Xenopus tropicalis: one gene and its partners. The protein of the gene in region 1 interacts with the protein of each later gene in a pairwise test. Links are inferred from orthologs where the notes say so. Each region holds a gene or a part of one and is shown in the gene's direction. Other genes may lie near its edges.

Evidence for each region.
Region 2: the proteins of rbpms (region 1) and tfg interact in binary tests that used the Homo sapiens proteins (3 or more experiments, as listed by UniProt). The two-hybrid records come from large-scale screens. The link is inferred for Xenopus tropicalis from reciprocal best matches to the Homo sapiens genes RBPMS and TFG.
Region 3: the proteins of rbpms (region 1) and foxp3 interact in binary tests that used the Homo sapiens proteins (3 or more experiments, as listed by UniProt). The link is inferred for Xenopus tropicalis from reciprocal best matches to the Homo sapiens genes RBPMS and FOXP3.
Region 4: the proteins of rbpms (region 1) and tle5 interact in binary tests that used the Homo sapiens proteins (3 or more experiments, as listed by UniProt). The two-hybrid records come from large-scale screens. The link is inferred for Xenopus tropicalis from reciprocal best matches to the Homo sapiens genes RBPMS and TLE5.
Region 5: the proteins of rbpms (region 1) and creb5 interact in binary tests that used the Homo sapiens proteins (3 or more experiments, as listed by UniProt). The two-hybrid records come from large-scale screens. The link is inferred for Xenopus tropicalis from reciprocal best matches to the Homo sapiens genes RBPMS and CREB5.
Region 6: the proteins of rbpms (region 1) and per1 interact in a two-hybrid assay, tested with the Homo sapiens proteins (2 studies listed by BioGRID). The link is inferred for Xenopus tropicalis from reciprocal best matches to the Homo sapiens genes RBPMS and PER1.
Region 7: the proteins of rbpms (region 1) and gcm2 interact in binary tests that used the Homo sapiens proteins (3 or more experiments, as listed by UniProt). The link is inferred for Xenopus tropicalis from reciprocal best matches to the Homo sapiens genes RBPMS and GCM2.

What each region holds. Positions count from the first base shown.
Region 1 is NC_030677.2:83,961,183-83,965,210, reverse strand, and holds the start of rbpms (RNA-binding protein with multiple splicing), read left to right. Parts: upstream 1-1,228; 5' UTR 1,229-1,519; coding exon 1,520-1,582; intron 1,583-4,028.
Region 2 is NC_030678.2:105,590,825-105,594,784, reverse strand, and holds the start of tfg (protein TFG), read left to right. Parts: upstream 1-1,160; 5' UTR 1,161-1,169; intron 1,170-3,960. UniProt on the Homo sapiens protein: Plays a role in the normal dynamic function of the endoplasmic reticulum (ER) and its associated microtubules. Required for secretory cargo traffic from the endoplasmic reticulum to the Golgi apparatus.
Region 3 is NC_030684.2:25,953,114-25,956,613, reverse strand, and holds part of foxp3 (forkhead box protein P3), read left to right. Parts: intron 1-1,326; coding exon 1,327-1,492; intron 1,493-3,500. UniProt on the Homo sapiens protein: Transcriptional regulator which is crucial for the development and inhibitory function of regulatory T-cells (Treg).
Region 4 is NC_030677.2:114,622,611-114,626,752, reverse strand, and holds the start of tle5 (amino-terminal enhancer of split), read left to right. Parts: upstream 1-1,342; 5' UTR 1,343-1,612; coding exon 1,613-1,645; intron 1,646-3,152; coding exon 3,153-3,250; intron 3,251-4,142. UniProt on the Homo sapiens protein: Transcriptional corepressor. Acts as a dominant repressor towards other family members. Inhibits NF-kappa-B-regulated gene expression. May be required for the initiation and maintenance of the differentiated state.
Region 5 is NC_030682.2:43,114,400-43,117,899, forward strand, and holds part of creb5 (cyclic AMP-responsive element-binding protein 5), read left to right. Parts: coding exon 1-274; intron 275-3,500. UniProt on the Homo sapiens protein: Binds to the cAMP response element and activates transcription.
Region 6 is NC_030679.2:144,443,499-144,446,998, forward strand, and holds part of per1 (period circadian protein homolog 1), read left to right. Parts: coding exon 1-86; intron 87-1,856; coding exon 1,857-2,058; intron 2,059-2,243; coding exon 2,244-2,295; intron 2,296-3,500. UniProt on the Homo sapiens protein: Transcriptional repressor which forms a core component of the circadian clock.
Region 7 is NC_030682.2:90,621,082-90,624,581, reverse strand, and holds part of gcm2 (chorion-specific transcription factor GCMb), read left to right. Parts: intron 1-80; coding exon 81-333; intron 334-1,781; coding exon 1,782-1,894; intron 1,895-3,338; coding exon 3,339-3,464; intron 3,465-3,500. UniProt on the Homo sapiens protein: Transcription factor that binds specific sequences on gene promoters and activate their transcription. Through the regulation of gene transcription, may play a role in parathyroid gland development.

The sequences.
Region 1 (4,028 bases):
CGCGCTCAGAATGTTAATGAAGGTACAAGTATTTCTAGGAGATCTGCTTCCTGAGGTAGCCTAGATTTGCCGCAGGTGATAAATCTCCTTGTCTCCCAGTATCCTAAGGCCCATAGGGAGATTAGTCACCTATTGTTAGATTGCCACCAGCAATAAAGTAAATTGCCGATGGGAAGACATATGCATTGCTTTGTTTTGTGAAGTTGTGCTGTTTCCTCCTGCAGGGAATTCACATTTCTGGGATTAGTTCCCAAAATTTTAGGGAGATTAGTTGGCCGCGGTAGCCAAGATTTAACCGTGGCCAACTAATCCTCCTGTGGGCTATTGCCCTTATGGTGATGGCACATGTGGAAATTAGTCTCCAAAAAATGCTTTCCCACCAGCAATAATGTAAATCACCACTGGGAAAACATACGCTTTGCTTTGTTCTTCTAAAGTTGAACGTAATTTTCTCACAAAGAATATCCAGAAGATTAGACACCTGTGGTAGAGCAGATATATCAAGGGTGACTAATTCCTATGTGTGCAGTCACCCCTAAGGCTGAGGCACATGTGGAGTTTAGTCACCTACGATTTACATTACTGCTGGTGGGAAAGCATTTTTAAGAGATTAGTAAACTGTGATAAAGCAGATTTAGCTCAAATCTCCAGGTCTCATTGCCATGGCTCTAAGCTCCCTCTTTTGTGGAATCCTAACAACAACAAGAATAAATGCATAAGAGCGCATTATCTTTGCTGGTTCCTACATTGTGTACTTCGCACCTTGGTGTAAACCTCTGCCTAAATTAACCTTACAGGAAAGTGTTAAGATCTATCGCTACAAATTGAAATAATATAAGGAGGGTAAGGCGGCACCCAGAACATTCAGGTATACTTGCACTGTAATAGATCCTACTCACCACTAGCACCAAACACAGTGCTTATCACTCTTTCCGCCCCCTCCACTCTCTCTTTCTCTCACCCTGCTGCCGCTGCCTATTTTCTATCTCTCGGCATTTCACCCTTTGACCTTGTCTGGAAATCGTCAATTTCTGAAGACGCTTTCAAGCACGGCTGATTTTTTAACTAAGAAATTGGACCCGATACTGATTTTTTCTCTCACCAGCCCTCCCTGCTCTCTAAACAGAGCAGCTCCCCACCCACAAACTGGGAGTTTTGTAGTCCCGGCTCTGAAGTTGCTTTAAGCCCTTCCCCTTCAGAAAGCAAAGGCTGCTCCTAACCCTAATCACCAACAGTCACTCGCAATCCCCCTTTCCTCTCTCACCCCCTCGCTTGCTTTCCTTATCACTCGTACAAACCACAGACTTCCTCATCTTACTTTTAAGACAAAACTCTGAAAGAACAAGAGCTTTATTATAATATTTGGATCTAAATGATATGCTTTTCATTAAACTAACCAGTAACCTGACTGCTTGAAACTAAGTTCCAGTCTTTCTCCAGCACTTCCCAGTATAAGGAAAGCGAAAAGTCTGCACTGTAGAAACTGACATTCACAGAAGCCTCTGCCCAGGAGACCACAATGAACAGCAACATAGCTGAAAAGGAGGGCTCTCAGGATGAGATCAGCCTTCCAGAAGAAGAGGTAGGTGGCTCTAATACAACCGAAATATTTTACTCATTATCCCTAGTCTGCACATGGTGTTATCCACTTGTGATGCCTGCTGATCATTCCAACTCCTATAGTTTGTTGTATAAAAATGCTTTTTTAAATGTTTCTTAAAAAGCTGTAATATTGATCAACAGAAATGTAGTTCAGTATACATGTTTGTGTGTTTACAAATGCTAAGTAAAAGCAGCTTAAATTTTGTATATTATTACATACACACACATGTATACCTTGTTATCAGTCACTGTTTGTGTGTATATATGTAGTGCGGTACCATTTTGTGGGCTTGTTGTTTTAGTAAGTGAGCAACCCTGGCTGTAGTCCCACAGTAAGATTTGTTTCTGGGGATTTGACAGATTCTATGTGTGGCAATTTAGGTCCGACCTCAGGAGTCAGTCAGTCGCATCCTCATTCATCCTTTAGGAGTGATGAGCATATGATTACCCTGTGACTTGTCAGATTTCATTTGTATGGAAAGAGTTCACATTCATCAAAATTGTATGTAATTGCATGCCTTAACTTTCATGCTGACATTCTGATGTGATCAAGCTCATGCAGTGGAGGACCACTTTCTATAGTGTGAATGTGAGATTGGTATTTTTTTAATGGGAGAAAACGACAAACTTAATTATTCTGGTTTGTAGATCAGAACAATTGCTTAGTTCTAAACAGTCAATCACATCAGCTTTTGATTGGAAGCATGATCTGCACAACTGTTGTTTTGTGAGTGCAGCATACAGTAAATCTGTTGTTTAAACAAATGTGTTCATAAATTGTTCAATAAATCCTAGGTGTCTTGAGTTTCTGGGATTTTCCTTAAAACACGGGAAGTTGTAATATATGAGTTGCAGTTCTCATTGCTGTGTATTTTTTAGGTGGTACAAAATGGTCCTTGTTTTGTCAAAATAGTAATATTAAAATTAAAAAGCCATAACCCTCTCTCACAGTTGGGTCCTTGCATTACTGTGTAGAGGAAGGAAATAGTGTTGTTAAACAATACCTCTCATGCTGCAAACAAATAAGGATAATGGATACCAGTTCTCAAGTGTGAACTAGCTCCTGCATTTCAACTATGAGATGCCCTTTAGGGCTTGTAATTACTAGCGTTTGTTTCTGCGTTTCACCGCAGGGGTGCACAGAAACAAACACATTTCATACTTCCCCATGTGCCTATGTGGTCCCTCTTCTTTACTAGGGCCTTATTGTCCAAGACAGCCCAGCAGACATTCCAGCAGGTGGAGGCCAAAAGGCAAGAGCCATGTGATCCCGCTTACTATATTAAACATTACAGGAAACAATTATAACATCCGTGAACCAATAGGGAAAAACTATTCTACCCAGGTATCTAGGTTACAGGTGCCAGGAATATGCAAAAAGAAGGGAAATCAGGCTAGTAGGGGATTCACAAACCCACAGGGCATTTAACTTACAATTCAGTAGAAGATTCAAACATCTTGAGTGTGGGAATTTTGCTTTTTAGTACCAGTACTTTTTGACCATGCACCATTCAGTGTGCGGTTCTCCTCTGTGTTTCTCAAGTCCAGGCCCAGGACAGTTGCCTATAGTTTACATACACATCACACATTTTCTTGCAAATTCGTCAATATTGGTATTTTTATATTCACTTCTTGTGTCAAATTTTCAGGTTTAACAAAATTGCATGCTAGTATGAAGATCAGCTGTTTTAAAAAAGGATTCTAGGAGCAGCTGCATTTTCCTCTGAACAGTAAGTGGAACATGCAAAGGACACTGGCTCCCTTAACAGCATTGTTTTGTCCTTGGAATAGTTGAATTCAGGTATACTGTTAGTGGCATGGTAGAACAAGGCAAATGATTAATAAATGTTTCAGTTGTTTGTAAAATAATGTGGAGAGTTTTTGATGCAAACAAAATATATATATATATATATATATATATATAAAATCACAAAATTTGGTAACAGGCACTCACAATACAGAGTCAAGGATGCCTGGGTGCAGTCCAATACGAAATAGTAAAACACAAAATAGCCGGTACCGCACTCACAGGTCTTATATAAAGATATTTATTCAAAAAATCGTGTCTAACGTTTCGGCTGCCATTGCAGCCTTTCTCAAAAAAGAAAGGCTGCAATGGCAGCCGAAACATTAGACACGATTTTTTGAATAAATATCTTTCTATAAGACCTGTGAGTGCGGTACCGGCTATTTTGTGTTTTATATATATATATATATATATATATATATATATATATATATATATACAGGATCTCTAATTTGTAAACCTGATATCCAGAAAGTTCCAAATTACAGGAAGGCCGTCTCTCCTACTGCCCATTTTAAGCAAATAATTCCAATACTTTAAAATTATTTTTTCTGTAATAATAAAATATTACCTTTTACTTGATGGTAACTAAGCTGCATAGATCCATAATGGTTGCAAA
Region 2 (3,960 bases), on another chromosome or scaffold:
GGTCAGAGTGGGTTTCCTCTGGGCTCTCTGGTTAAGTGGCTTCTGATAATTCGGACCCTACAATGCATAAATCTTATAGGGACCTTAGACTGTAAGATCTGCTAGGGCAGGGACTGCTATATAATGCACTGGGGAATATGCTGGTATTATATAATCATGCATTGATAAAACATTATAACATTAACAGTTCGTTTTAAATATCCGGGAGTCAGGAAGGAATTTTTTCCCCTCTGCGGCAAATTAGAGAGGCTTCAGATGGGGTTTTTTGCCTTCCTCTGGATCAACTAGCAGTTAGGCAGGTTATATACAGGCATTATGGTTGAACGTGATGGACAGAAGTCGTTTTTTTCATCCCAACTTACTATGTTACTATTTCCAAGTACAAAATATGATGAAAAGTAAATACTGAGATACAAACTTGAGACACTAAACTGCATCCATCTTCCTGACCATCCTTTAAGCAAGTGCCTACTGGCACAGATATACACAGAGGGCACTTTTCACCGTGACGCCTATTCAAAACTAGTTAAAAAGTATCCAGGTACAAACCAAGCATTATCCACACTCCTGTACATAAATGTCGGCAATGTATAATGTCACATCAGGAAACACAACAGGCAAATGTGAAACTCACTCACTAAGCAGAGATGGTTACTTTGTGTGCTGATTCTGTACCTTGGCCTTGGAAACTCTTTGTGCAGTGGATCAGAAGGGGCTTATTTCTTGGTGTCTGGTTTTCAGAAACGGACGGCTCTCACCTAGAGACCAGCCTGCCGCAAAACTACAGATAACCCGCGGTTGCTTGTCTTTAATTTTTGACAGTAATAAAGTTTACTGAAAAACATAGCACTAATAAAGTTGATTGAAAAAAGAAACACAGTTTCCCGAAAGCACCGTCCTATGCTAAGCTGTGCCACAAAGCTGTAATGCGCATGCTCGCTTCGCTTCCTCCTTTGCCACGTACAGATTGTGCGCTGAACGCGTAGACTTGGAGTGATTATACTGCGTCTGATTGGTTGCTCCGAGCGCCTGACGTTGCGGTGCTGGCAGACAGAAGGAGGAGAAGTGGTATTAGTACTGCCGCCCTCACCCTGTCTCCTTGGCATTTAATCTTACGGCGGTCGGTAACCAGCCCGGTATATCTACGGGGGAGCGAACAGCAGCGTCAGGTAAAAGTCAAACCTGGAAATGAATGTGATAACATCGGCATTGTGAGCTGGGCCCCGGGGTGTGGCTCACGCTGTGCCGGCTGGTGGTGGAGCCAAAATATTAATACTGATTCTGTAGACGTGTTTTGTTTAATAATCATATAATTGCTCATAACTTTCGCTTAGTATTCCACTGGCAGTATTACTCTGTCAGAGCTTCATGTTCATTTTTTAATAGTTAAAGTGGCGCAGGTTGAACATTCCTGGTAAGGATGTATACAGGTGTGTGTATATTATATATATAATCATGGGCATCTTAAACCAACTTGCCCAGAGAGTTAGAGTCTGTGTTAATGTAAGATCCGCTTGTGGTTAGAAAACCTTCACCCCTGACATCTAATTCATTGTTGCTGTCACATGGCAGAAAGGTGAGAAGCAACACGTTTATGTGGGTCTCTGGTTTTCTGTTCCTTGCTCACCATGACCTCAGCCGACATTCAGTTGCCACATCATAAGTCCAGAGATCAACACAACTTGATGATATAAGATTGTGTGAAATCTCAGTCTTAAAGGCCTAGGGTTGCCAGCATAAAGTTAGTCAAGAACCTTCTATATTTTGACTTGGCTTTATCTTTTTTTTTTTTTTTTTGTAACTTCTTTTTTATTAACGATCATCAATAATGACAGTTTACATAGTTTCATTGACTTGGCTTTATCTTATTAAGACATAATCCTTTTTCTATGTTTCATTTTGCCTTTTTAAAGGTGAAGTATGCCCGCTTGTTCAATGCTTAACAGGACTGAACAGTTCTTTTTTACTTATTGTTTTAATCATAAAAGTTCTATGTGTGCTATTTCTTCAACTAAGCTCCTCCATGGTATTTTTGTGACAATTAGATAGCCAGTACACAGATAATCCCCCTCTATAATGAACTCATTATAAATAGTCATAACAAGGGACAAAATGAAGAGAGGAGGTTGTATACTGGTAATCAAGTTATTTACTTTGTGAGGTAGCTTCCATTTCTCTGTTCATTTATGAAATAATTTGTGTGCATACTGCAAGTGTTACAGGAAGAGGGAATTATTTGTAATAGGGCACTTGTAGATCTACGGGAATTCACCTCCTATTAGCTTTCTCCAAGTGTTTACTACAAAACTTGAGTAATGTTTGTGCAGGTTAAGAGCTATAAAGTTCTTGATACCACATGTTTATAGATCTACATTTAGTTCCCATAATATTCATTCATATTCTGTAAATTTCAGTAATAGAAATGTCTCATAGAAAGTGTTTTACCAGTCAGACATGTCAGTCTGGCTTTTCCTGATTGATTGTATGAACATTCAGTTTCTGTCCTGAAGTGTGCATCAGGGAAGTCTGCTGCTACTGCTGGTGGGGGATATGTGTTGTAATTGTGTAGCTGCAAGTTGGAAAAGTCCTGGGATACATGGCATATTTATCCACTGGTAAAACATTCCAAGTAAAATTTCTTGCAAAATTGATTGCATAGGATTTGTTATATTTGTCATGGAACTGTGCTGAGAATTATGCTTTACTATCCTTCCCTATAAATAAATACCATTTTTGGTAGCATCCATTAATCCATCATATTCAGTGGGTACTGCTGACACCTGCTGCCTGACAAGCACCCATCATAAAATCCTAAATTCAGCTGGTGATTAGTACATGCTAAAATGTGTTAGAACTGAAGAATGATGATCCTGAAAATACAATTGAACCAGATTTATTGGACATATTCTAACCCAGTTGATTTGGGCTGTGCCACAGTTTGAGGGGAGAGGTGCAATTTAATGTAAGCCAAAACATAGAAAGCTTTATCGTTCCCTTTCTGATAGTATTAGGTGTTTTCACCAGCTATTGACCCATTGTAAACATGTGCAAAAAAAAAAGACAAAAGTATATGTGTTTGGGCCAGTTCCAGAAGGCATTACAAGTAAATAATTTACCAATCAGGTTATTCTGCCTGTGCCTTTACTTTAATTTTAAAGGCACATGCTTATTCATAATAGATCTGAAATTGGGAAAAGGAATACACCTTTGTAATGTGTCAGAAGATGTATTACGTTTTATTATTTACTTTCCAGTATTTAATGTTTACCTGTTTGAACGGTGCATCCTGGAAAGCTGCTTAACTCATTTTTGTGAAAACATAATCTCTTAGCCTTTGGCTTACTTGGAGATCTAGAGATTTGTGATTTCTGTTTCAATTTGAAACGACTAAACTGTATGTTAATATGCAGATGTTAATTATTTTGATTAACTTTTAGGCATGGTATAATTAGAAATGACTGAAAAACTCCAGGAAAGCAGACAAGTGAAATAATTTAAAAGCAATAAAGAAAAGCTCAATTTTTCATTGTCCACATAATTATGAAAGTTGATTCCTTTTGAAACACACACACACAGAATTAGTGTCTGCAGCAACAGACTGGTTCTGTTTAGTGTTACTTATTAGTTAGGTATGGTATAGTCAGGTATTTGTGGTTTAAAGCTTCTTGACATTTCTTAGCAACTGGCCATCCCAGCATACACCTGTTGCCACAGAGCAATGGAGGGATCCTTAAACAATGATATGGCAAGTAATACTATAGCAAAACTTATGTTTTTCATTATTGCAGTTATGTGTGGAAAATATTAAAATCTAATTTAATAAATGTTTTCTGTATATTAATGGTAGAACTGCAAAAGTCTAAATACAAAGGACATTAAAGGGGACCTGTCACCCTAAGAAATACTTGCAAATTGTTTTCTATTGTGTTTGTCAAGCAAAATAAAATTCACCTACACTGT
Region 3 (3,500 bases), on another chromosome or scaffold:
CTATACCCATACCATAATAAATTTGTATTTTACTTGGAAATATTATTTGGGGGTAATTTAACACGATTGAAAAGGCAGGTCAGAAATGCACCACAGTCCAATCTCTCCCTACTATACCTGCTATCCCACAGCCACAGTCCCTTCCCAGAGGCTATTATCCCCCCCACTGCTACTATAGGCACCATCTCTCCCTACTATACCTGCTATCCCACAGCCACAGTATCTTCCCAGAGGCTATTATCCCACTGCTACTATAGGCACAATCTCTCCCTACTATACCTGCTATCCCACAGCCACAGTCCCTTCCCAGAGGCTATTATCCCCCTACTGCTACTATAGGCACCATCTCTCCCTACTATACCTGCTATCCCACAGCCCCAGTCCCTTCCCAGAGGCTATTATCCCCCCACTGCTACTATAGGCACCATCTCTCCCTACTATACCTGCTATCCCACAGCCCCAGTCCCTTCCCAGAGGCTATTATCCCCCCACTGCTACTATAGGCACCATCTCTCCCTACTATACCTGCTATCCCACAGCCACAGTCCCTTCCCAGAGGCTATTATCCTACTGCTACTATAGGCACCATCTCTCCCTACTATACCTGCTATCCCACAGCCACAGTCCCTTCCCAGAGGCTATTATCCCACTGCTACTATAGGCACCATCTCTCCCTACTATACCTGCTATCCCACAGCCACAGTCCCTTCCCAGAGGCTATTATCCCCCCACTGTTACTATAGGCACCATCTCTCCCTACTATACCTGCTATCCCACAGCCCCAGTCCATTTCCTATTATCCCACTGCTACTATAGGCACCATCTCTCCCTACTATACCTGCTGTATCACAAGCCACAGTCCCTTCCCAGAGGCTATTATCCCACTGCTACTATAGGCACCATCTCTCCCTACTATACCTGCTGTATCACAAGCCACAGTCCCTTCCCAGAGGCTATTATCCCCCCACTGCTACTATAGGCACCATCTCTCCCTACTATACCTGCTATCCCACAGCCACAGTCCCTTCCAAGAGGCTATTATCCCCCCCACTGCTACTATAGGCACCATCTCTCCCTACTATACCTGCTGTATCACAAGCCACAGTCCCTTCCCAGAGGCTATTATCACCATTGATACTATAGGCACAATCTCTCCCTCCTTTTTTTCTAAATCAAAGTAAGTAGAAGATAATACGCCCTCCGGTAAGAGACTAAAGTCTGTCAAGTGGTAGGTAGGATACACACCCAGAACATGTCAGATCTTTGATCCACCCTGGACAAGTTTGTCCTTGGCAAGCTGATCGCAATCTGTGTGTTTTGCTTCAGGATTCAATCTTACTAGCCTGGGTTGGGCGCCACAGGAAGCGCGGCTGAGAAAACCAGAAGAGGTTATCCTGGGTAAAAATACTTTTACATCCTCATCTTTGTGCCATTCACCACCCATCAATACTGTGAAGACCCAGAAGAAAGCTGGAGGACAGAACAAGGAGAGGTTAGTGCATTGGTTTGTAGCTAATGGTAAGTTAGAACCACTTGTACTCGCTCTTCCCATGATCCTTCACTTTTTCTCTTCCCATAATGCTTTGCTGTTTCTCTTCCCATAATGTTTTCCTTTTCTCTACCCATAATCCTATGGGTAGGAAGAAAGCTGGAGGACAGAACAAGGAGAGGTTAGTGCATTGGTTTGTAGCTAATGGTAAGTTAGAACCACTTGTACTCACTTTTCCCATGATCCTTCACTTTTTCCTCTTTCCATAATGCTTTGCTTTTTCTCTTCCCATAATGTTTTGCTTTTCTCTACCCATAATCCTATGTTTTATCAACTTGACTAAAGGTGACCATACACGGTAAGATCCGCTCATTTGGCATTCATTTGCCGATATCCCCACCTACAGTTGGGCGATATCAGACTAATTCAGTCATTTGACCCTGGGGCCAAATGATTGAATTAGAAAGACAGGTGTAGACACCATCGGTATTAACGAGCTGATGTGGTCACCAATCAGAAGGAAAAATCAAACCTGCCCAATTGAGATCTGCCGATTTCAGGCCAGATGTCGGACGGACAGGCCCATCGTTCGTGCCCATAAATGGGCAGATAAGCTGCCAAATTATCGGTAGCTAGAATCGGCCCGTGTATGGCCACCTAAGGTGACCCCAGCCTTCAAGTTACCAACCAGTTGAATTTACCTGGGCTATTTCAGGGGATGTCCTTTAGTACTTAAAACGGCAATACCTAGGGACATATGAGTTGATGGCTGGACCACTCATGAATGAATTATATGTCTACTGGTCTGTGTGCAAGCTTAAAACAAAGCCTGCTCAATACACAACCAGCGCTCAGTCACTATGATGTGGTGACTGGCTGATTAGCTGCAAAGACCTTTCTGGAATTCCTAATTTGGAAACAGGAGAGGCGGGTGGCAACCCTAGGTACCACACTGCTCAGTTGGGTTCAGATCTTCTCTTTTTTGATGATGGTCTAGCAGCCTCAGTACTATTATGACTGGCAGGTTTACAGAAGAACAAAACCTTGGAGGCCTCTCAAACCCCAGTAGAATTGCCCAACTGCACACCCTCTTACTTCCATGTACATGTACCACAGTAGGGTTGGGGCTTGATATCCCTTTCCGAGCAGTCTTATTCCAGGAGCATGCATAGCTGAAGCCAACCCAGACCTGGCTTCACCTGTGCAAACTTCTGGTTGGCTATAGCAGAGAAGGGGACATAAAGCATGATACTGCACTACTCTTCTTTATAAGGACAAGTACACGATCTGTGTTGTATAAGGGGTCCCCAATGGTGCAGTTCTTGAGGGGGTTGATGGCTTCTGGAGTGGGTCTATGGTTTTAACAAGGCTTTTGTTCTTCTTTATTATGGAATGCCTTTTGAAGACTGGGTACAACAACTAAGGTGTCATAATTCAATTTGAACAGTTAAGTTGAATAAGTAAGTAGGCAGAACTTACCAGGATGTGGGGAAAGCCCATTATAACTTATATTAATAGTTATCCAATACCCAATGAGTTACTGAGGCATGCCAGTATGGTCAGTGTTACCCTAGGTAAGACCTAAGCCTGGCTTGGCAATCTCTGGCTCCTGGCAAAAGCCAGGGGGCTGCTGTATGATGCCATTAAAAGTCACTATTTATTAAAACCAGTCAGTTATTTATCAAAAAATCAGAAGTTAAAAAAGCACGTGCTGTAAAAAGTTGTCGAAAAGTCACGAAAAGCTCAATTTTTTCGACAACGGTAAGCGCAACTTTTTTTACTTGACGCACAAACCAGCTTCAAAATACCCAAAACCCTCAAAGACCACGAAGCAAAGAAAGATCTTCCACTAGCAAAAAGGAACAATTGCCATTGACTTCTACATGACTTTGACAGGTTTTAGATGGAGAGTTTTCAGATTCAGAATTCTGACGGAATGGTCTTATAATAAATCTCTGAAAAGTCCCCACTGGGGCTTTTTCGGGTTCGCGAAGGTTATGGGTTATTAAAT
Region 4 (4,142 bases), about 31 Mb from region 1:
CAACTTTTTGTGTGCAACCATTAAATTGAGTGCTTCAGGAAGCTAGAGTTTGGTTGATTCTCATCTCTCAAAAAACCTGAGCCTTTTCCTCTTGACTAAATGATGGTCCAATATAGAACTATATTGTAATAATGCCTAAATAAGTCTGAGGTGCAGAGAGGAATTTAGTACTGTATTGTTTGCTGTCCTATTACTTTAAACTTTTCTTGATTAAGTTGAGATTTTTACTGTGGCCCAAAATCACATTTACAGTGAGACAGTTGTTTTAGTTAAATAATTTGGTTCATTTAAGGCTGATGGCCCAAAGAGCAAGTTAGTTGTCCGCTGTAGATCTCTGCTACTGCGGGCAACTAATCACTCTGAAATGCCTTTCCAGTGGCAACAATCGGAGTCGATGGAAAGGCCTATGCATTGCTTCGGCTTTCCAAAGTTGCCTGCAGGAGGAAACTTTGTGCGAATTGGGAAAGCCAAAGCGATGCGTAGGCCTTTCCACCAGCGACTCCTATAGTTGCCAGTGGAAAGGCATTTTGGAGCACTTAGTCGTCCGCGGTAGCGAGATCTATCGCGGGCGACTAACTTGCTCCATGGGACATTAGCCTTAGATGTCATTCTGCAAGGCTCCATGTTTTTGTCAGCATTTTGCATTGTTACACCAGTGTGCCATTGGGAAACCGTGTTCATCTAAACATAAACTGATCAGATGCAAATGCTCAGTGCATTGGTGTGAAGGTTGAACAACATGGTGCTGTAGGCCCTTAGTAAACGAGGCCATCAGTGTCTTATCTTTTGCACCCCATAATTACCAAGAACTGAACATCATGTGTGAGTGTCTGGAAGCAAAATCTGTGCAGCCAGGAGTTTGTAGCAGGCCAGAAATGTTGAGGGCCCAGTGGGGCCATAATTACTAAACAATTTCTCCAGAAATTTTGGGTGCCCCTTTAATGAATATGTTGAGGGCTTAGTAACATCTACTTTCACCACTGGTAAAAATTGAATTACTTCAGTTCAGATGATTGTTGTAAAAGCCTTAGATATATACAGAGACAAAAAATATTCTTAAGGGAGATTAAAATAAGGCAGCCTCTAAAAATTAGCGAAATGATGCTCCCACTGAGGTCTGTATAGCAGGGTTCATTGAATGTAACTGATAAGCTTTCATTTTTTCAGGAATTTTAAAATCAGCTAAAAGGACAAGGGATCCTTACATGGGAAATTGAATCATTGAAACTGTGACCTGTAGAGGGAGCCATATATCTGCTTAAGCACAGACGCCATTAAACAAAAGGCTCCTGAGTGGGTAGAGAGCTAGGAGATCGTGTAGTGAAGCAGGGCAGGCCGTAGCCTCAGGGGTGGGGGAGCATTACCGGGTTAGAGATCAAGAAGGGACGAGGCCAAGGGGACAGTAGAGGTCCTGGTTGACAGCACACAGAGCGGCCAGAAGATCATCTGGGGTTTGCGGATCACATATCTGGGCCCAAAGCAGTAGTGCCGGCTGAGAAGCAGAGCGAAGCCTTCCCAAAGTGCACTGAGCCCTTGGATAAAGCGCACAGGAAGCCGGGCCTTGGATACTGAGCCTGTGCGTAGCGCCGTACATACCGGGGCCGGGTGGGATATGATGTTTCCTCAAAGCAGCAGCCGGCACTCGGTGAGAAGGCGAGGGGTAGAACTGAATGTACTACTGTATTATTGTGTGTTATATTTGTATAGAACATGTTCATCTGCTGGAGACGCTAAAAGCAATATGGGGGTAGGATTTTTTTGTTGCAGGAAGTCCTGCCGTTGCAGGAGCCGAAAGGGCTTAGTGTTGTAGTAGAGTTTCAGAATTCTGTTGAATCCATCTTTGCCGTCTAGAGCACTGGTAGCATTGTTATATTTTCGAGGTGATATCCAGTATTACACACTGCTGTGCAATGTGCTGCCTCTTTATAAATACATGTTAAGGACAAGAAATTACTGGAAGGGGCAATGGTAGGCATCCCCTCCCCAATAATTATAATTACTAGCCTCAATCCCCCCCATTGGAGTTGCCTTTGTGCTTAAAATTGCACTGCCCTGGGGCACTATTGTAGGGAGTGCTGCCAGCTTGCTTTCTGTCCATGCAATTCTTACTTCTGCCCTGGGTAATGAGCACATGCTATAGAGCAAAATCAGGACTGAAGCTGCAAGCCAAATATTTTGCTGTATTGCACATGACCCAGAGCAGCAGCAAGGAAGCAAGATGGTGGTGCACCCTAAAATAGTATCCTGGCCACTGTGTTTTTTTTAGTGAAGAGCAGTATTAGCCTGGGGTCCAAGGTAATCACCAGAGGTGCCTGACAAATGTGGCCCTCACCATATTGGCAGTGCATAATTGAGATATTCATGTATCATGTACTGTACCACAGAAAAGTGAGCCTCCAATTGTCAAAATAATGACCAAGCAGTGTTCTAGTTGCTGCCTTCTCCCTTGGAAATGGGATACATATACTTAACAGAAATAGCTAATTATTAGTAATAACTATGCTTGCTGCAGCCATGTATTATGTGCTTAAAGCCTTCCATACACTGAAAGATCCACTCATTTGGTGAAGTCGGCAAACAAGTGAATTATCTTGTGATTTGGCCACCAAGGTTTGTTTGGCTTTATGGCCGCTGATCAGATCATTATAGGGGCCTATACTTGGTTGATTAGGAACTGAGCGTATAAACAACCAAGTGGCCCTTATTTTATGATATTTTCAAACCTGCCCAGCAGATATCTAACTGATATGGCAGCTAATGTTTCCAAAGGTATTTTTAGCTTAACATAATAATACATATTGCATAAGCCATTTAGGTGTAAAGGGGTGAGGTGGCAAACAAAGACAAAAGTTGTTGTAGAACTCTTCTTTTACCCTATTCTACCTCCTGACTCATGGGAACACAATCAAAACAAATTACTAGTCCACTGAGAAGCCCTTTGTATAAATAAACCCCTCCCTGCCCCTTGATGCAACCTGTTAGACTCTGAAATGAGTAGCTCATTATACAGAGGTTTCTCAATGGACTGGTGATCATTAAAGGGGTATACTATGCCTTTAATTTAACCACTAATTAGCCAAGTGTCCTGTGGATTCCATTAAGGCTGCAAATGTTTTCACATGGAATTTCTATTATGATTTTTTTTTCCTTAGGGCTCTTCGCATTTGCCCCAGCAACTCAAATTCACAACCTCAGATTCATGTGATAGAATTAAGGATGAATTTCAACTGCTGCAGGCACAGTATCACAGGTAGGAAATTGCTTCATTTTGACACTGAGGGCCACGCCAATGCACCTTTTGTCTGATGAGGTTTTCAAGCCTGCCGATTGTTATCTAGAATTTACACATGCCAATAAGCTGCCGACTAGGTCGGGAGGAACCAAGTCATCAGCTTTAATCAGCCCCTGTACGGCCACCTTAAGGCTAATGGTGCAGTTAGTCGCCCACTATAGATCTTTGCTACCACAGGCAACTAGCTGTTCCGAAATGCCTTTCCACCTGCAACAATAGGAGTTAGGAGTCGCCAGTGGAAAGTTATACGCATCGCTTTGGCTTGCCAGTGGAAAGGCATTTTGGCACAGTAGTCAGCCATGGTAGCAGAAATCTATTGCAGGTGACTGACTGGCTCCATGCGACATTAGCCAAACACTACATTTTATGTTTTTTATGGCATAGTATTGTTAGGACACATACATGATGACCTGTAGCTAACTTGTTTGACATAAATTTAATATAACCTGGCCCTTAAACATGATATACTGATATTTGGGTCCCTACACTAAAATGCCAGTGTTTAAGAACCCTTATTCTTTTAGTATAAGCAGCTAAGTCTGTACAAGTATGGAACCTGTTACCCAGAATGCTTGGGACTTGAAGCTTTCTGGATAAGGGATCTTTCTGTAACTTGGATCTCCATAGCTTAAGTTCACTAAAGCAAAATTTAAACATTAAATAAACCCAACAGTGTTGTTTTGCCTCCAATAAAGATTAATTATGTCTTTGTTAGGATCAAGTACAAGGTACTGTTTTATTATTACAGAGAAAATGGAAATGGGGCCTATGAGAGATGACCTTACCGTTGTTCGGAGTTTTCTGGATAACAGATTTCCAGATAGCTGAATACCTGTACTGTCCAACTGCA
Region 5 (3,500 bases), on another chromosome or scaffold:
GAACTCTATGGGTCACATGATAGACATGATGAATTCCCGACAGGACCAGACTCCACATCATCATATGCACTCTCACCCGCATCAGCACCAAAGCCTGCCCCAGCATCATCCGTACCCTCACCAACAGCACCAGCATCCGCCACACCATCCTCACTCTCAACCCCATCACCAACAGGGACACCCTCATCATCACTCTCATTCGCACCTTCATGCGCATCCGTCACACCATCAGACGTCTCCACACCCTCCCCTGCACACAGGGGGACAAGCACAGGTAGGTGACAACTATATATAATCTGATTTTCTTTTTTAAACCTAAGTGTGGATTTAGAAAATAGTTATATATAAAGCACAGCGAATAAATTGAACTCTCTTTTATCACCTGGAAATACAAATACTCCATGGATTTCCAACGTCAAGGTCTTTAAAATCATTGCTCATATTTGGCATTGATGAAATGTATCTTGTAGCAGAGTATCTGAATATTAAATAAACATATTTAGTTCCAAAATATGACTGTAGGATATTAAGCTTGCAACAACATCACAGTACACCATAATGGTTAGCCAACATCTATCTATCTTTTGAGACAGGAGAACCTGCTGCTTCACATTTCAAATATATTTTGCACTGCTGCAATGTGAATCTATAAGGGATATAAGGGATCTTTAGATAAAAAAAATCTCACCCGTTTTTCTTAGCAAGAAGACCACGGGAAACCATTTTTGTAGAACATCATGCCAAAAGTTTAATCTTCTGCGTTGTCATCACTTGTGCATAGCGTGGAACTGTTCATATAATATGCAGAGTGTCACAGACACATAAGCATCCCGCGTACAAAGCATCCTATGTTGAAACTTGAAAATCGTCCAGGAAATAATCATTTTTTCGTTTGAAAAATTCCTTCCGAGGACCTGCCTTAGCTTTTGGGATTATGCATAAAGCAACAGTGTTACGTAGGAAGCCATTTCTAGCACTGTCCTTTCGACAGCCAGCTGGACAGTTCGGCTCTTTCACAAGAATGTGCCAGCCTCATAAAAATTGTTAAGTCTTCTAGGCTTCAGAATTTCTTATGAAGTTCAAATATTCGCTTGACAAACTATAATCCTGCAGGAGACCTCAGAATCAAAAAGGCCAATAAAAACGAATTGTTATTCATTTGCATTGACTTGCTGTTATTATTATTATTATTATTATTATTATTATTATTATTATATGGGTATATGATCTTTTTTTCTTGACACTTGTTATCCAGTGTTGTAGTAAATAAGTTAAGCAAATAATCCTGCTTTTTGATTTGCTTTTTCTCTGGTACAGGTATAGGACCTGTTATCCAGAATGCTCGGGACCAAGGGTATTCTGGATAAAGGGTCTTTCCATAATTTGGATCTTCATACATTAAGTTTATTAAAAAATCAATACAACATTAATTAAACTCAATAGGATTATTTTGCATCCAGTAAGGATTCATTATATCTTAGTTGGGTTCAAATACAAAGCACTGTTTTATTTTCACAGAGAAAGAAGAAATCAATTTTTAAAATTTGAATTATTTGATTAAAATGGAGTCTATGGGTGACAGGCTTTCCGTAATTCAGAGCTTTCTGGATATTGGGTTTCCATATAACGGATCCCATACCTGTATAATAAAACAGTAGGGATCATTTACAAATTGCAGAACAGAGTGCAAAGTGCAAACCAGTGCAACATGCCATATATTTTTTTTTTTTTGCACTTCGCACCCTGCCCTGAGCACCCGTAGGTGCAGGTTTGGAGCACAAAGAGTTAAACTTCCCCAATAACTACAGCACTGCCTGCAGCTGCCCGACCCCCTCATCACTGCTAGTGCTGCACTTTTTTCTTGCTTTGGTTTTTGTAATGAGGCACAATGTTTTTAGCAGCTTGGTGCTGCACATCATAGAAACACTTCATATCTAGAGAACCCAAACCCAAGCATTACTAATATTAGATCCCATAACTGTAGTGTTCTCTAATTGCAATCAACTGTGATATCATGTAAATGAAACTGCCACATCTTCTTAACTGAGCTATAAATATGATGTACATATGACCTTGGTAAATAATGGAAACAATATATTTTGCAGCATTGTGAAGAATACAACAAACCAGTTCCCACAAGCTGACAAATACTTTTATTTCTATCTTGTTTTAACTTCCTTGGGCCCATATATCCATAGGCTGTGTATACTCATTTTACTTCCCAGTCCCATAGGATGTTTTTGTATGATGGGGTAGGGAACAAGCTCATTCCATGTCCTTTCCACGTTAAATCATTTAATATGTGAGGGAATGTGTTGCTTATTTGTTTGCCTGAAAATAAGCAACACTGAACAGTCTCAGTGTTTGTCACAACAGTAAGTGGGTCTGCAATTTGCCAAAATCATGTAGAAGTCAATGGCAGATGTCTCTTCCCTTGCCTGAAAGATTCTTCTTTTGACTCAAAACTTTAGAGGTTTCGGATTTTTGACACAATCTGGAAAATTCAAGTTTTCTGGGCGACAATTTGAAAAAGTCGCAGTTTCCGAGACAGACTTTTTCAGTTCACATTGTTTAGTAAATGTCAGACATTCGTGGAAATGAGTTTAGTTGAATTTTTAAAAATAAAATGAATAGAAATGCTAAGAGTTTTGTTAAGGTTTGTTATTATAGGCTGCAGGCAATATTTGATTGGTCCAATGTAGATTGGTCCATTGTACTGGCCATCAAATGTTGCTGAGCTATAAATTCCAAAAACTCAACAGAGCCTCTAGGAGGTTGCACGATGCCCAGGGGAAACTAGTGAAACTGAATGCCTGATTGTTTACTGTGACTTACTGTATGATGCAAATGCTATAGTAAATGAACCTCTATTAGACTATTTGTAATACACATTTGGCTAATTGTATATTATGTATGTAATATAAATAAATATAGGTAAAGACAAGGAACAGGACAGTGATAATTTGATAGGCAAAGTCCAGTGATGACTATTCTACCTACATGGTTAGTTATTGTGGTCACTGTGGGTGTCTAACAAATAACCCTCGGTATGTTTTTCATTCCTTTTCCTTATGAAGGAAACTGACTTACAAAAATCCACTTTACTGTTGTGGATTCTTAACAAACCATTAGCACAAATAGCTATTTTTGTTTTCCTTACGTTTTTTTTATATATGTAATGACTTTTTTGCTTGCTTTTGGGAGTTTCCTGGCGTAACTATTTTTCATGCTGAACACAAGTCACTTATGCCGTGAGTCACGGGCTGATTGCACTGGTATAAAGACTTTATTCCAGCATGTGCTAGTGATTTGGAATGGCCGGCTGCCAAGCAGCACAATTGAGTTGTTTGCAGCTAGAGAGAAAAATGCTAGGTAAAGCGAGTCCATTAATATTCCCTTTGTATATCTATATAAGATAAAAATCCTATCTGTGCAACATACTTGCTAAACAATTGCTGCAGTTGGGATGCACGTTTATAGATATAACAGCTTCCCTTTGA
Region 6 (3,500 bases), on another chromosome or scaffold:
ACTCCCAGCCATGTTGCCTGGACATGTCCAGTTACACCATCGAGGAGGTGGAGAGCGTGACCTCGGAGTATACCCTAAAAAATCCCGTAAGTGTTGCACACCCACTGGGGTCTCTTTGTGTCCTTGCCAGAAAGCAGTAATGTGAAATATGTAGCATTAATATTGGAGAGATATCTTCCCAGGCCTATGGGATTGGTTAGTTATAATGCCAGTTAGGTGCCCTGGGTACCCCTGGAACTATAGCGGGGTGACTGTTACCCCAATGTTTCTATATATCTGTAACCTTGTTATGGGCTAAGGGGACCCAGCCTGAAGGCCAGTTAGGGGGGGATTTGGGGTGAGTGCTTATTTGTGCCCTGGGTACCCCTGGAACTATAGCAGGGTGCCTGTTACCCCAATGTTTCTATATATCTGTAACCTTGTTATGGGCTAAGGGGGCCCAGCCTGAAGGCCAGTTAGGGGGGGATTTGGGGTGAGTGCTTATTTGTGCCCTGGGTACCCCTGGAACTATAGCGGGGTGACTGTTACCCTAATGTTTCTATATATCTGTAACCTTGTTATGGGCTATGGGGACCCAGCCTGAAGGCCAGTTAGGGGGGATTTGGGGTGAGTGCTCATTTGTGCCCTGGGTACCCCTGGAACTATAGCGGGGTGACTGTTACCCCAATGTTTCTATATATCTGTAACCTTGTTATGGGCTAAGGGGGCCCAGCCTGAAGGCCAGTTAGGGGGGGATTTGGGGTGAGTGCTTATTTGTGCCCTGGGTACCCCTGGAACTATAGCAGGGTGCCTGTTACCCCAATGTTTCTATATATCTGTAACCTTGTTATGGGCTAAGGGGGCCCAGCCTGAAGGCCAGTTAGGGGGGGATTTGGGGTGAGTGCTTATTTGTGCCCTGGGTACCCCTGGAACTATAGCGGGGTGACTGTTACCCTAATGTTTCTATATATCTGTAACCTTGTTATGGGCTATGGGGACCCAGCCTGAAGGCCAGTTAGGGGGGATTTGGGGTGAGTGCTCATTTGTGCCCTGGGTACCCCTGGAACTATAGCGGGGTGACTGTTACCCCAATGTTTCTATATATCTGTAACCTTGTTATAGGCTAAGGGGGCCCAGCCTGAAGGCCAGTTAGGGGGGGGATTTGGGGTGAGTGCTTATTTGTGCCTGGGTACCCCTGGAACTATAGCAGGGTGACTGTTACCCCAATGTTTCTATATATCTGTAACCTTGTTATGGGCTAAGGGGGCCCAGCCTGAAGGCCAGTTAGGGGGGGATTTGGGTGAGTGCTTATTTGTGCCCTGGGTACCCCTGGAACTATAGCGGGGTGACTGTTACCCCAATGTTTCTATATATCTGTAACCTTGTTATAGGCTAAGGGGGCCCAGCCTGAAGGCCAGTTAGGGGGGGATTTGGGGTGAGTGCTTATTTGTGCCCTGGGTACCCCTGGAACTATAGCAGGGTGACTGTTACCCCAACGTTTCTATATATCTGTAACCTTGTTATGGGCTAAGGGGGCCCAGCCTGAAGGCCAGTTAGGGGGGGATTTGGGGTGAGTGCTTATTTGTGCCCTGGGTACCCCTGGAACTATAGCAGGGTGACTGTTACCCCAATGTTTCTATATATCTGTAACCTTGTTATGGGCTAAGGGGGCCCAGCCTGAAGGCCAGTTAGGGGGGGATTTGGGGTGAGTGCTTATTTGTGCCCTGGGTACCCCTGGAACTATAGCGGGGTGACTGTTACCCCAATGTTTCTATATATCTGTAACCTTGTTATGGGCTAAGGGGGCCCAGCCTGAAGGCCAGTTAGGGGGGGATTTGGGGTGAGAATGAATTTCCTGCTCTCTCTCGTTATCCCAGGATACATTCTCTGTGGCAGTCTCATTCATCAGTGGTCGAATTGTGTACATCTCAGACCAGGCTTCTCTCATCCTGCATTGCAAAAAGGAGGTGTTCAAGGGGGCCACATTCGCTGAGTTTCTTGCTCCACAGGATGTCAGTGTCTTCTATGGATCTACAGCCCCATATCATCTCCCTTCCTGGAGCAGCTGCACCTCTGGGGGTAAGGAAGGGGCAGATAATTGTACCCCTGAATTCACTTTGCCTGCATTGATATGTACAGTAGGGGGTGTGGATAGGCCCCAACCCTCACAGGGTGGTAGTGATAAAAACCTTCCCACAGTAGGGTGACAGAGTAGGATCTGTACAATCTGTCTGATTGGGGTCATTTTTGTCTTTTTCCTGCAGATACTGCATCAATGGACTACACGCAAGAGAAATCTGTCTTCTGTCGGATCAGGTGGGTATTGTGAGGGTGGGGAGAGCATAGAAAAATCATTCATTTATAGACAGAGAGAGGGGAGGCCCGGCTATCTATCCCCTGTATATACAGAGAGAGGGGGGGCCCGGCTATCTATCCCCCGTATATACAGAGAGAGGGGAGGCCCGGCTATCTATCCCCCGTATATACAGAGAGAGGGGAGGCCCGGCTATCTATCCCCCGTATATACAGAGAGAGGGGAGGCCCGGCTATCTATCCCCCGTATATACAGAGAGAGGGGAGGCCCGGCTATCTATCCCCTGTATATACAGAGAGAGGGGATGCCCGGCTATCTATCCCCTGTATATACAGAGAGAGGGGAGGCCCGGCTATCTATCCCCTGTATATACAGAGAGAGGGGAGGCCCGGCTATCTATCCCCTGTATATACAGAGAGAGGGGAGGCCCGGCTATCTATCCCCTGTATATACAGAGAGAGGGGAGGGCCCGGCTATCTATCCCCTGTATATACAGAGAGAGGGGAGGCCCGGCTATCTATCCCCTGTATATACAGAGAGAGGGGAGGCCCGGCTTATCTATCCCCCGTATATACAGAGAGAGGGGAGGCCCGGCTATCTATCCCTGTATATACAGAGAGAGGGGAGGCCCGGCTATCTATCCCCTGTATATACAGAGAGAGGGGAGGCCCGGCTATCTATCCCCCGTATATACAGAGAGAGGGGAGGCCCGGCTATCTATCCCCGTATATACAGAGAGAGGGGAGGCCCCGGCTATCTATCCCCTGTATATACAGAGAGAGGGGAGGCCCGGCTATCTATCCCCTGTATATACAGAGAGAGGGGAGGCCCGGCTATCTATCCCCTGTATATACAGAGAGAGGGGAGGCCCGGCTATCTATCCCCTGTATATACAGAGAGAGGGGAGGCCCGGCTATCTATCCCCTGTATATACAGAGAGAGGGGAGGCCCGGCTATCTATCCCCTGTATATACAGAGAGAGGGGAGGCCCGGCTATCTATCCCCTGTATATACAGAGGGAGGGTAAGAATGGGGCTTTTTATCCCCAGTATAATGAGGATACAAACTGAGCTATATATTGCTCCGGAAGTCCCCCTCACCCGCCTGGCCTATTAATCCTTACTTAGAAAGCTGTGACACAAAGGACCCTGTAATTAACACAGCGACACATCGTGCGTCACTCACCCCCACGCGCCGCCCACTGCAG
Region 7 (3,500 bases), on another chromosome or scaffold:
TACACTTTTTAAAAAAATTTTCATGTATAGATAAGCTCATATAATCTCGATATACTAATGTTATGCCAATTTTTGTGTAGGACTTGAAGCAGTTTGACAGCTTTCAGGAATGGACAGATGGTTATGTGAGATTTATATACAATGCAGAGGACAAGAATGCCCAGCGCCATCTAAGTGGTTGGGCCATGAGAAACACCAACAATCACAACTGTCAGATCTTGAAGAAGTCTTGCCTGGGAGTGGTGGTTTGCAGTCGCAATTGCACATTGCTAGATGGAGGCAAATTACTGCTCAGACCAGCCATATGTGACAAGGCCCGTCAGAAACAACAAAGTAAGTGGCAGAGACCATATCACTTCTCAGCTGCGGAAAACTTTTGTCTTTTACATCCATTTATTTTAGTCAAATTTCCATTTAATTATTTTAGTATTTCTGGAAATTGTTGTAATAAAAAATCACACAGCACACAGAGGGCAGATAAAGGAGGTTTCACCATCAGTATCAGAAGGGTGTATTTACTATGAGAGAAGCCATGGAACGCACCATCAAAAGAGAGGACAATAAGGGATTAGCGAGGTTGAATAAAAGTTTTGTATTACGAGCAATAAGTATTTATTAATCAATATCAATTAGTTCATGGATCAGATAAGTTTTTTGCTTTTGACTTTTATGAACCTGTTTTTTTGCAGACTTACAATATTTAAGTGTTTAAGTCTGTTTTAACCATTAAATTGAATGATATCCACAGAAATGATCTTCTATATATATAATATATATTACTTTTTTAGTTGGTAAACATTTAAAGATTTTATTTTAAAATACCTATACTATCTGGCAATTCTGTTAAAATATGGCAAATATAGCTATTTTATATGGTTTTTGTAGTTCATTCTTGCCAAATCTGTGATACTCTGTGATAGCTTTTGCTGTCCTATGATATTTTCTGTCCCATTAATGTTTTTTTTGGTATTTAACCATTAAATCTGAATTAAATAGAATGGGCACTTTAAGCTTTTTGTTTGATTTAGTTAAAAGTCAAGTGAAACCTGGAGTTTTGCTGTACACCAAAAGAAAATATTCTAGCAATGAAACAATATTACAGCAATGAAACAATATCATATAATAACTAAAGTAGTCCCAGTTTGGAACAGGTGTGGATCTATTGTTGTTCTTACTTATCTGTCTTATTTTTTATCTGCTATATGGTAACAGGGTGCTGCAAATTAGTCAAAATTTATGGCTCCTAGGTTGCCAACCTAGAGAGCCCTATCTCTTAATTAACTGTCACTCTGATCAGGCCTGATTGACGTGCTAATAATCAACTTAAAGAATGGTTCTCAATTTAGTTAGTGTGGATCTACCTTCCAGTGTGAGACAAATATGGACTTTGGAGAATCCTCCATATCAATGGCATTCCTGACTTAAACAAAATAACACATAAAGATAACATGACACATAAAGATAAAGGGAGCAATTGTTTATTCCTCTTAAAATCTGAATTGTGCAAACAAATACAATTTCAGTATAGTTAATACAGAGCATTTATGTCTTTCACAAGCAGCATACATAGAAAAATAAAAGCACTGAAATTGCGGTGAGGCAAAAACTTAAGGCACTTCAGATTTTGTATACAGAACTGTGCTTACCTATCAGTGTTAGATTTTAAAAGGAGAATAAATACATATCAATATTTTACTGCATGTGTTGCAATGTGCAATTATTATCACTATTAGCAAGATCACTCAATGATATGATTTAACTGAGCTTAATTTATTTCAAAGAGAAAATGTGCAGTAACTGCAACTCTGCTCTGGAACTGATCCCTTGCCGAGGCCACAGTGGTTATCCTGTTACTAATTTCTGGCGACTGGACGGGAAAGCCATCTTCTTCCAGGTATTATATTTATTAATTTCCTATAAGAAAACAAGAGAAGGGGCTGATATTTTGTGGGAAGCCCATGCATTTTGTAGCTTTGTGTATTATTCAGGCTTGTAAGCACACAAAAGTTTTGTTATTCCAAAGAGTAGGTTGTAGTACTGAAATAGGAGGCATCATCTGGGAAAAAATACATCATTAAAGGAACAGTAACACCAATGTTTTTAAAACTTATTACCACCACCCCCCACCACCACCAAATAGCTATGATGATAGGTAAGGCTTACTTCCCCTTGCTTTTTTTTTTAACTCTTTACCTTCACTTGCAAAGTAAACCATAGGAGAAAGATGAAAAGGCAATTGCAACTTAAATTCCTCTGTGCACTGAACTGGAAGTCAGCTGCGCACTGATAAACTAAAGCACCTAAGTTTTTTTTTCAGTGTCTGCAGCTTAAATTTATGTCTCTATTCCTTTGGACAGCTATGGGGGTAATGATGTGATAATATATTTAAGCTGCAGATGCTAAAAAAAAAAAAAAAAGCTTAGATGCTTTTAGGTCATTGGTGCAAAGCTGACTTCCGGTTCAGTGCACAGAGGAATTCAAGCTGCCCGTTACCTTTTAAAAACTTTGGTGTTACTGTTCCTATATAGGGGGTGTTCATCTTTAAATTAAGTATTAGTATGATATAGAGAGTGATAGTTTGAGATCATTTGCAGTCAGTCTTCAGTTGTGGTTTATTAATTTTTTTTCTTTTTGTTCAGCAGCTCTCCAGTATGGAATGTCAGCAGCTATCTGATTGCTAGGATGAGGATGCAAAATACCAGACAGTGTTTTAAATAATAGACAGAAATAGGAATACGAGAGGGTCTGACTATAAGGATAAATAATAAAAAGTAACAATAACAATCAGGGGCGCTGCTGCCATGAGGCAAGTTGAGTCACTCACCTCAGGTGGCAGCATCAGACAAGTTACCAGGGGAGGCAAAAAAGCACTCCTGCTAACTTCTAGTGCAGAGAGCGCCCTGATGTGAAAAAGCAGCGCGCGGGGGAAGCGAGGGGGGCGGCACCAACTTTGCCACCTCAGGCGGCCAGGACCCCTGAGGCGGTGCTGATAACAATAAAATTGTAGCTTCAGACAACAATACTTTTTTTGGCAGCTGAGGTCAATGACCTCTCTTTAAAACCTGGAAAGTGTCAGAACAAAAAAAAACCCCCAAATCATTCAAATATGCTAAATAAAAAATGAAGACCAATAAGTAGCTTAGAATTTGTCATTCTATAACAAACTATTTAACATAAGGTTTACTACTTTTACTACTACCCTTTAATCCAATAGTTACTACATAAAGCAGACAAACTGCGAATAGCAATCAGTTACGCTATTGAAACCATTGTCAGGATCAACATCTTTCCAGTTATATTAAATGTATTTTTATGCATATCTCTATGTTTAATGATAGGCAAAGGGCGTCCATGATCATCCCCGACCAGAGAGTAAATCAGAGACAGAAGCCAGGAGAAGTGCTGTAAAACGGCAACTATCTTCATCTCATCTGTCACAGAAAAAGAAACTTCTGGATCCTGAGGTAAGACCCTAAATCAATACATTTACAGGTAAAGTC